Linked DNA regions of Zea mays. The protein of the gene in region 2 binds, or shares a complex with, the protein of the main gene of each other region. Links are inferred from orthologs where the notes say so. Each region holds a gene or a part of one and is shown on either strand. Other genes may lie near its edges.

Region 1 (4,174 bases), on a different chromosome or scaffold from region 2:
GTAAATAAAAGGGTCAGGCGGAAACATGCCACTCAAATTTTTGAAAAAATGGAAACTAGTTCATTTTCATGCCACCATGGCATCAAAATAAACTAGCCGTCTAATTTTGTAAAAATTGAGTGGTATGTATACAATTAATACTAAATAAAATGGTTTCGACGTAAGAGAAAACCATACAGGTAGGCACTCAGCACATGCTTTTAGTTATTCCAAGGGCCGCATACCTCAAAAACAGAGATACGTGCAATATGAGGTCCATTCGTCTCCACTATAACCTTCTTCTCCTGAAAATTTTATCAGCACTATTCGTAACAACGCTTAACTAGATGTGGAAGACATCTCGGTAGGTTGACAGAGAAGATGTGCGGCTCACTCACCGAGTCCCACACAGGCCTGTGCGTGCTGCAAGAAAAGAGAAAAAAAGTTCACATATTCGAATCGAAAAGTGGTACGTATTTACTAGATATAGAGTGGTGATAAATGCATGCAATTCAAAATTAGATGGAGAGTACAGGCAAAGGCGATTCACGATATGGTGGCTCATAACTGGCTGAGGTACTTATCAGCAATCCCGCGTGCGGCGTGGAAGTTAAAATTTACTAGATCGGAGGGCACAGCCAGAGGGACATTTGAGAGTTACCAAGTCGAGGGACACACAGCACGCAGACATGAGAGCGAGACAGGGATATTCTTGCACAGAGGAATGGAAATGGAACAGACATAGGACGAGTATTCGAGCAGTAAATAAAAGCAAGGGCGACGCACTTGTCGGACGTCTCGGTGCGGTACGTGCGGTCGCCGAGAGAGAGGCACGCGAAGAACTTGTCCTTGAACTGCATATCCGCCTGCGCCCGGAAACCGAACAGGAGGATCAACCATGGCGAGTCAAAGTCAGAGTCAGAGAGGCAGAGACAGTGATGCGATACGAATCGAAACCCACGGATTCCGCCTCGGCTGGCCGCGTCGAAGCGGGGAGCGAGACTCGGTGCTAAGGAACATGCGCGTAGCAGCGGAGTTCGCAGCGCGCGGCCCACGTACCTTGGCTATCCGGACGCGTGCGATGCCGGCGAACTCGTCGGCGGCGAGGGCCTTGGAGGAGACCGAGTCGTCGCCGGCGCCGCGGCGCAGGCGGTTGCGCAGGCGGCGGCGGAACCGCGCGAAGCGCGAGGGCAGCGCCTCGCCGGCGCCGGCGCAGGCAGTGGGCCGCGACGCCGAGTGGCCCATCCGGACAGGTTGGTGGGGACTGGGGACGAAGACGGACGGGACGGCGCGGCGCGGCGCGGCGCGCCTTTTGCGGGACGGTGGTGGGCGCGGCGTCAGACAGACAGACAGACGCCTAGGCAGATGGTGGTTGGAAATGGGCCAAAAGTAGAGTCCCTTTTGAATCCAGGCCAACCGCCTGCCTGCCTGCCTGCCCGCGCACGCCGGTTCGTCGCCCGGCCGCGGGCCCCATCGCCACTTTGATAACTCGGTGGACCCACACGTCAGAGGGGTTTTGGAAGGTGTGTAAGGATGGAAGTCAAACCTGTGTTGATGGCGCTGGTGGGACCGGACAAGGAAGATCCACCTGCGTGCGCTGCGCACTGGGGGGGCGCCTGCCTGGCTCTTGGATCCACCCATTTCCCATCGTCGTCTTCTTTTTCTGAATGGGAATCTCCACTTCTTGGTGGTGGCAGGTCATGACAGCAGCCAAAGTAGATGATGATTCCCCCCCCCCCCTCTCTCTCTCTTGCGCTTGCAATGGGAAGCAAATGGCCAACCAATAGCAAAAAGGCAGCCGTGTATCGATCGCCTTATCCGGGTCCTGTGGCACTGGCACACCGCGCGTCCGGATTTGGCTGAGTAGCTGACTAGCTGAGCGAGCAATCCATCCCTTCGCCCGCCGCACCATGGAAGCCCTCGCCTCGGCGCCTCGGGCGCTCTTCCCGCGCGCGTGCCCAGTGGCGACGCCGGCCGGCCCAGCCCGGCGCCGCTCCGCCGCTCCTCACATCTGCAGGGCCTCCGCGGCGGCCGGGGAGGAGACGACGCCGCCGCCGCCGCCGGCGGCCGCTCCCAAGAAGATCCTCAAGAAGAAGCCCGTCTACTCGAGTAAGACGACGACAAGACCCCCCCCCCCCCCCCCCCCACCCCCCCCTACTTCTCCCTCTAGCTCTCGCGCGCGCGGCCATGCATGCATGATGAAACTGGCTGAGCTTTGCAGTGAAGAAAGGGCAGATTGTGCGCGTGGACAAGGAGAAGTACCTGAACAGCATCAATTATCTGTCAGTGGGACACCCGCCCTTCTACAAGGGGCTGGACTACATATACCAAGACCGCGGCGAGGTCTTGGATATCAGGAACTTCGAAACAGGAGAATACGCCCTGGTAATGAAAACTACTTCCATCCGCGCATGCTGTGTTCAGAGTTTCGTCATGCTTTCTGCCTCCACCATACATGTTCAGAGTTTCAGACCAACGCGCGCGTGCATGCATTTCAGATCGCTTGGGTGGGGATCCCGACGCCACCGGCATGGCTACCAACCTACATGCTCATCAAGGTAGCTGATTCATCCCCAGTTGGATCAATCTGTACGTCATGCACCACTCGTCTCACCTCGCTCTCGCTCTCTGTCTCTGTGGCATGTGATTTGTTGCATTGCAGTCGGACAAGCTCGACTACGAGAGGATATGATGGCCGGCCGGCGGCCTCGCAGGGCACCGTAGCGCCGCCGCCGAATTCATGCTTCATTTCGCATCAGGAGTCGGCCAAGCAGGACACACCTCTTGTTGTTGACTTGTTGTAGGTATATACGTACATGCCAGTATTGCCAGAACAGTCGACAGAGGCAATCTGAGACCTCAGCTGCTGGAATAATCAGGAAGTAGATCGAGAGCGACGTACGATGACGAGATTCATAATTGCTGCTGCACATCACTTCTTTATGTTATTTAAACTCACATTTCATAATTAATACTAATAATATATTGTCTCCGTTCTTGAATATTTGTCTCGTCGATAGTTTATTTTCGAATAAAAAACGACAAAATAAAAAAATGATAGTGTACCGATTATGAAGCAGCCACAAACAAAGGTTTATAATATACCTTTCCAGCATTTATATTATGGGTCAAAGTGTATCATCACGCACACGCCTCTGTCTACACTCCGCAGCTAGCCACTGCTGAAATAAACAATGTACAATTAGTCAGGGAGGGAAACAAGGTTGAGCCATCTTTAGATAATCTCTAAGACCGTGTCAACCAACTCCCCTATCTCATCTCATATCACATCCCTTATTTCAGACTTTACTCTATAAACAATGATAAATATTGTTATTTACAGTATCATGTCCTCTATTTTAGGGGATCCACTGAAGACAGTCTAAGTTAGTGTTTAGAATGGCTCGATGCCAAGAAACGACTTTGTTCGAAAAAAATAGGGAGTTGGATGGTTCAAGATTTGATCATATTTTTTCTTTTTTAAGCCGCTATATTCTACATAAACCAATCCTAACAATAATAGATTTAGGAGTGTAGCGACTCAGTCCAACCCTACTCCAAAACCAAACGCTACCTACAATATTTTTTATGGGTAACGACATATGAATTATGAACACAGTGAGATTTGTCGATCACCCCTAATCCACGTTGAGGTAGATTCCTAGCTCTCACTTGCTCCTCTATCAAGACATCGCTTGATCTTTGAGCCAAGTGGACAGTAAAACACTCAATACCTCAATTGTACTAGCGTCGCCTTTGCCGCTCCGACGACGTAGGCGCGAACCCCTCATAGACTCCTCCGAGGTTTCTTCACAGCCTTCATGAAGAGTTCGACAGAGTCACCACCAAGCCGTCTAGGAGGCGACAACCTCCAAAAATAACAAGTCGATGACAATCACTTGATGTTCCACATAGTGCCTCAAGATCACTTTGATGATGCAATGCACTAGAATCACCCAATCACTCACTAGAATGTAATCTCAAATAATATGGGTGAGTGAGAGTGTATGACAAGCTCCAATGTGCTCAAAGTATGCTAGTAATGGCCAAAAGAGCTTCCATACACGAGCACCACTTCTATTTATACCTATCCATTCAATACTAGCCGGTATGGACAAGCTGCCCCTTTTCTGCACACTCGTAGACGATACGCGCACTCTGGCTAGACGGTCTGTCATACAACTAACAACTAGTT
Region 2 (4,159 bases):
CATGCCATGTGACCACTCCGGGCCCAGATGCGCCATGCGCCATATACCCGAACCCCCTAGCCCACACACGCCCGTGAAACCGCGAGGGTCGGCTCTGATACCACTTGTAACACCCCGTCCAATCCCTGGACCGGCGGTACTTACTCCTGGCAGCTCTCTAGGATCATATATTGTCCCCACATACCAACACAAGTCTTTTGTGCGCACTTTGTCCTCACTCATGCGCACCCGAGAAAACTTCCCGGTCGGTCACCCATCCCAAATTGCTCCAAGCCAAGCACGCTTAACTTGGAGGTTCTTTCAAGATAGGCTTCCGAAAAAGAATATGCACCTTGTTGGTATGATTACACTATTAATTCTATTAAGCCTTGGGCCAGGACATCCCATCCCAGGGGCCAGGATATCACAATCCACCCCCCTTAGAAGACCGACGTCCTCGTCGGTCAACCCCAATCCAGGAACCTCCCCTCTTGGCCACGTCTGTATGTCTAGTGTCGTCATATGCCATGCCATGTGACCACTCCGGGCCCAGATGCGCCATGCGCCATATACCCGAACCCCCTAGCCCACACACGCCCGTGAAACCGCGAGGGTCGGCTCTGATACCACTTGTAACACCCCGTCCAATCCCTGGACCGGCGGTACTTACTCCTGGCAGCTCTCTAGGATCATATATTGTCCCCACATACCAACACAAGTCTTTTGTGCGCACTTTGTCCTCACTCATGCGCACCCGAGAAAACTTCCCGGTCGGTCACCCATCCCAAATTGCTCCAAGCCAAGCACGCTTAACTTGGAGGTTCTTTCAAGATATGCTTCCGAAAAAGAATATGCACCTTGTTGGTATGATTACACTATTAATTCTATTAAGCCTTGGGCCAGGACATCCCATCCCAGGGGCCAGGATATCACAATTTGTTCGGTTATTTTCAATCTATAGATTGGAAGAGATTGATACGTATTGAGAGAGATTTTGACTTACTAAGGATTGAAACCCTTTAATCACCTTCAATTTATATGGATTGGCATAGAAGGGAAGACCCCTCTCCCTCCCTTTCAACTACACTAGTTACCAATGGCACAAATCTCGTAGCATCTGCAGTGGCTACCAATGGCACAAATCATGTCTTGTATCGGGCGACAAAACCGCTAGTCACAAGAGTGCTGAGGCCAAAGCTGAGAGACTGGAGACGGCAGTAACGAAGATCCAAGCATTGTTGCCGTTTCAAGAAGACCTCTCCCTGATGATACCGTGGAACGCAAACCTGATGCGCGTTATCATGGGAGGCGACACCCAAAATCCTGAATTACAAAAACATTATTAATTTAATCACAGTTAAAAATTACAACAAGGGGATGTAGCTCAAATGGTAGAGCGCTCGCTTTGCATGCGAGAGGTACGGGGTTCGATCCCCCGCATCTCCAAACTGTTTTTTACCCCCCTTGTTTTATTTTTTTTACCTCTTCTCCCTCATTGTCACTTGGTCAGTACTCAGTACTACTCAGGATAACTGTGCGGACGAATTCGATTGCGTACCGTCTAAACTGACAGCGCAAGTGTTCGTGCGGCGGGAAAATTTCTGCAGTTTCATTTCTCGTTCGGAATATGGTTACCGTTCCTTTTTCTTTTTGTACATGTGGCCATTGGCTAAGTGAACAGCGACACCTCATCGCCTCGCCCTCCTACCACGACAACTGGAACGTGCGAGCCTCATCACCTCCCGACTCCCCTCCACGCCTTGGAATGCTGCCTGCGCAGACGCTAACACACACGTTTCCCATGGCAGCGTCCACGGCCTCGCGCATCTTCACGCCCTTCCTCCACCGGCACCAGCGGCGCACGAAGGCAGTCGTGGTCGCAGCCGCGAGCCCGCCCGACGCCGAACCGACTCCTGCGACGGCGGACGGTGCAGGGCCGGGGAAGAAGAAGACGGTGGACACCAGGATACACTGGTCCAACCCCGACGAAGGGTGGGTAGGAGGCAAGGCCAAGAAGGAAGGCGACGGCCGCGGCAGCAGCAAGAACGAGCCGTTGGGAGGGAGGTTCGCGGACCTCATCAACAACGCGGCCGAGTCTCACTACCAGTTGAGTTCATCTCCAATCCATGCTCATATGTCCTTTTGGATTGCCGTCCAGCTGTACATAAATTTGTAGAGCTCTGTTCGAGACACTGTCATCATCATGTCAATACTTTGTTACTAACGGCGACACATGACTGAACTGCAAAATCTATCACCCAGGTTCCTTGGCATAGCGCCAGAGGCGGACATCGAGGAGATCAAGACGGCGTACCGGCGGCTGTCCAAGGAGTACCACCCGGACACGACGACGCTGCCGCTCAAGGTGGCGTCGCAGAAGTTCATCCGCCTGCGAGAGGTGTACAACGTGCTGAGCAAGGAGGAGACACGGCGGTTCTACGACTGGACACTGGCGCAGGAGGCCGAGAGCCGCCGCCTGCAGCAGCTCAGGTCCAGGCTCGAGGACCCATACGAGCAGGACATCATCAACTACAAACCCGTGCCAGACATGGTTGACCGCCTCGGCGGCAAGAACATGAAGCTTAGCGATCAGGCCATGACTGCGCTCACCATCGATATCGTTATCATCATCATCTCCATCTGCTGCATCATCTATGCTGTTTTCTTCAAGGAGCAGTACTGACAGCAGCATACCAGCAACAGCAGCAAGGTTGCAGGAGTGTACCATAGACAGAACATTATAGGTAAATTAACTGATAATGCCCTAAGATTGTCTTTTGGGATGTTATCATGCACTGCATCATGTAATGTCCAATAGAATAAGGTAGGAACGACGATTATTCATGGTTTGTTGCCAACAATCCTATATTTGCATAATCAAATCATAATTCCAGTATAAATCTGTGACATCATAATTTATTGCGTCAAATCAAAAGACAATCTGAAAAGAGGGCAAAATTCCCTAACAAGATATCTTGTGCTCTTGCTGTACTCTACTTGGAACTTGGTTAAATAAGTGAGATGGAACTGGAGGTAATCTCCCATGCGATACATGAAACTACAGCATGGGTTGTAGGTATCAATCATCTAATGCCTAACCTTCACACTCAATGATCTTGACAACAGAAGAATCACCAATCTTTTCAAAGATTATCAACCTGTCGAAAGGCTTCACTATGCCAACCGACCGACCATAGCTCATCGCAAGTTTTATCCCATACTCTTCCTTTGTTAGCCCACCAGTTTCGGCCTATTACAGAGTTTTAAGCATTCATGGTTAGCCATATGTTTTTTTACATGTAACTCTAATGTTAGGGAAAAATACAATTGCTTACATACCTCATCAGTACTCCCCATCAAAGGGTACACGCCTCTCACTGCGAAACATTGTCTTGCCTGAAAGTGGTTTAATAATGGTTACACATTCGAGTTTGCTGGTCCTGCTTCACGACAACCAGAAAACTAAGGAAGCATGAAACTCAGCAGAATCATAGACATACAAGTTACCTGTGTTGTGCCATAAGAACGCCACTTTGATGGATCGGATCCTTCACGTGGGAAGATAACTGCTAAAATTGGCATTGTTGGCCTATACTTGGCAACTAACCTGTGAACAGATAAGCATAAAATGAATTGATTGCTCCGTATGATGGAAATGTGTCTAATGGTGTGCTGATCATGAAATGAAATAAAGGGGAGCACCTCGCAGCTCTCCCTGAGAATGTGAACACAACAATGGCAGCAGCTTTTACTTTGATTGCAGAACCAACCTAAAAACCAAGTAATGGTTAACTGATGTTCTATAAATTAGAAAGCTTGTGTTTATTCCAATGAATTGATAGTATTTACCGCTGCTGATGCCACAGATTCCTCGTGGGGCATTGGGTCACCTACATGCCACATTACTTTCTTGAATTGAAGCGGCTGATTATACACAGTCTCAGCCTGGAGGATTTACCATTGATTAGTCAAGTATTTCAGATGGTTGAATGGTTCTATTACAGTTTCTTCTTAAATAGAAACATACTTCTGCACATATTCTCCCCACAGTACTCACTGCATCAACAGGATAAAGCCCTCGAAGTGTCTCCGCACCAAGCAAAATGCCATCAGTGCCTAGAGACCAGCACAGGAAATAAGAATGACATTCATAAAATGATAGAAATGTAGTAAAAGTGTT

Evidence for each region.
Region 1: NAD(P)H-quinone oxidoreductase subunit T, chloroplastic (region 2) and NAD(P)H-quinone oxidoreductase subunit O, chloroplastic share a complex: the UniProt entries of both Arabidopsis thaliana proteins name them as parts of the chloroplast NDH complex. The link is inferred for Zea mays from reciprocal best matches to the Arabidopsis thaliana genes NdhT and NdhO.

The regions. Positions count from the first base shown.
Region 1 is NC_050103.1:163,551,718-163,555,891, reverse strand, and holds NAD(P)H-quinone oxidoreductase subunit O, chloroplastic, read left to right. Parts: upstream 1-1,737; 5' UTR 1,738-1,889; coding exon 1,890-2,088; intron 2,089-2,200; coding exon 2,201-2,364; intron 2,365-2,477; coding exon 2,478-2,537; intron 2,538-2,641; coding exon 2,642-2,671; 3' UTR 2,672-2,949; downstream 2,950-4,174. Other genes in the region: Phosphatidylserine decarboxylase proenzyme 2, read right to left, coding at 225-284, 378-402, 766-845, 1,039-1,224. UniProt on the Arabidopsis thaliana protein: NDH shuttles electrons from NAD(P)H:plastoquinone, via FMN and iron-sulfur (Fe-S) centers, to quinones in the photosynthetic chain and possibly in a chloroplast respiratory chain.
Region 2 is NC_050099.1:14,035,550-14,039,708, forward strand, and holds NAD(P)H-quinone oxidoreductase subunit T, chloroplastic, read left to right. Parts: upstream 1-1,633; 5' UTR 1,634-1,744; coding exon 1,745-2,085; intron 2,086-2,241; coding exon 2,242-2,662; 3' UTR 2,663-2,892; downstream 2,893-4,159. Other genes in the region: Pyruvate kinase 1, cytosolic, read right to left, coding at 3,074-3,229, 3,319-3,375, 3,487-3,586, 3,682-3,749, 3,829-3,924, 4,007-4,095. UniProt on the Arabidopsis thaliana protein: NDH shuttles electrons from NAD(P)H:plastoquinone, via FMN and iron-sulfur (Fe-S) centers, to quinones in the photosynthetic chain and possibly in a chloroplast respiratory chain.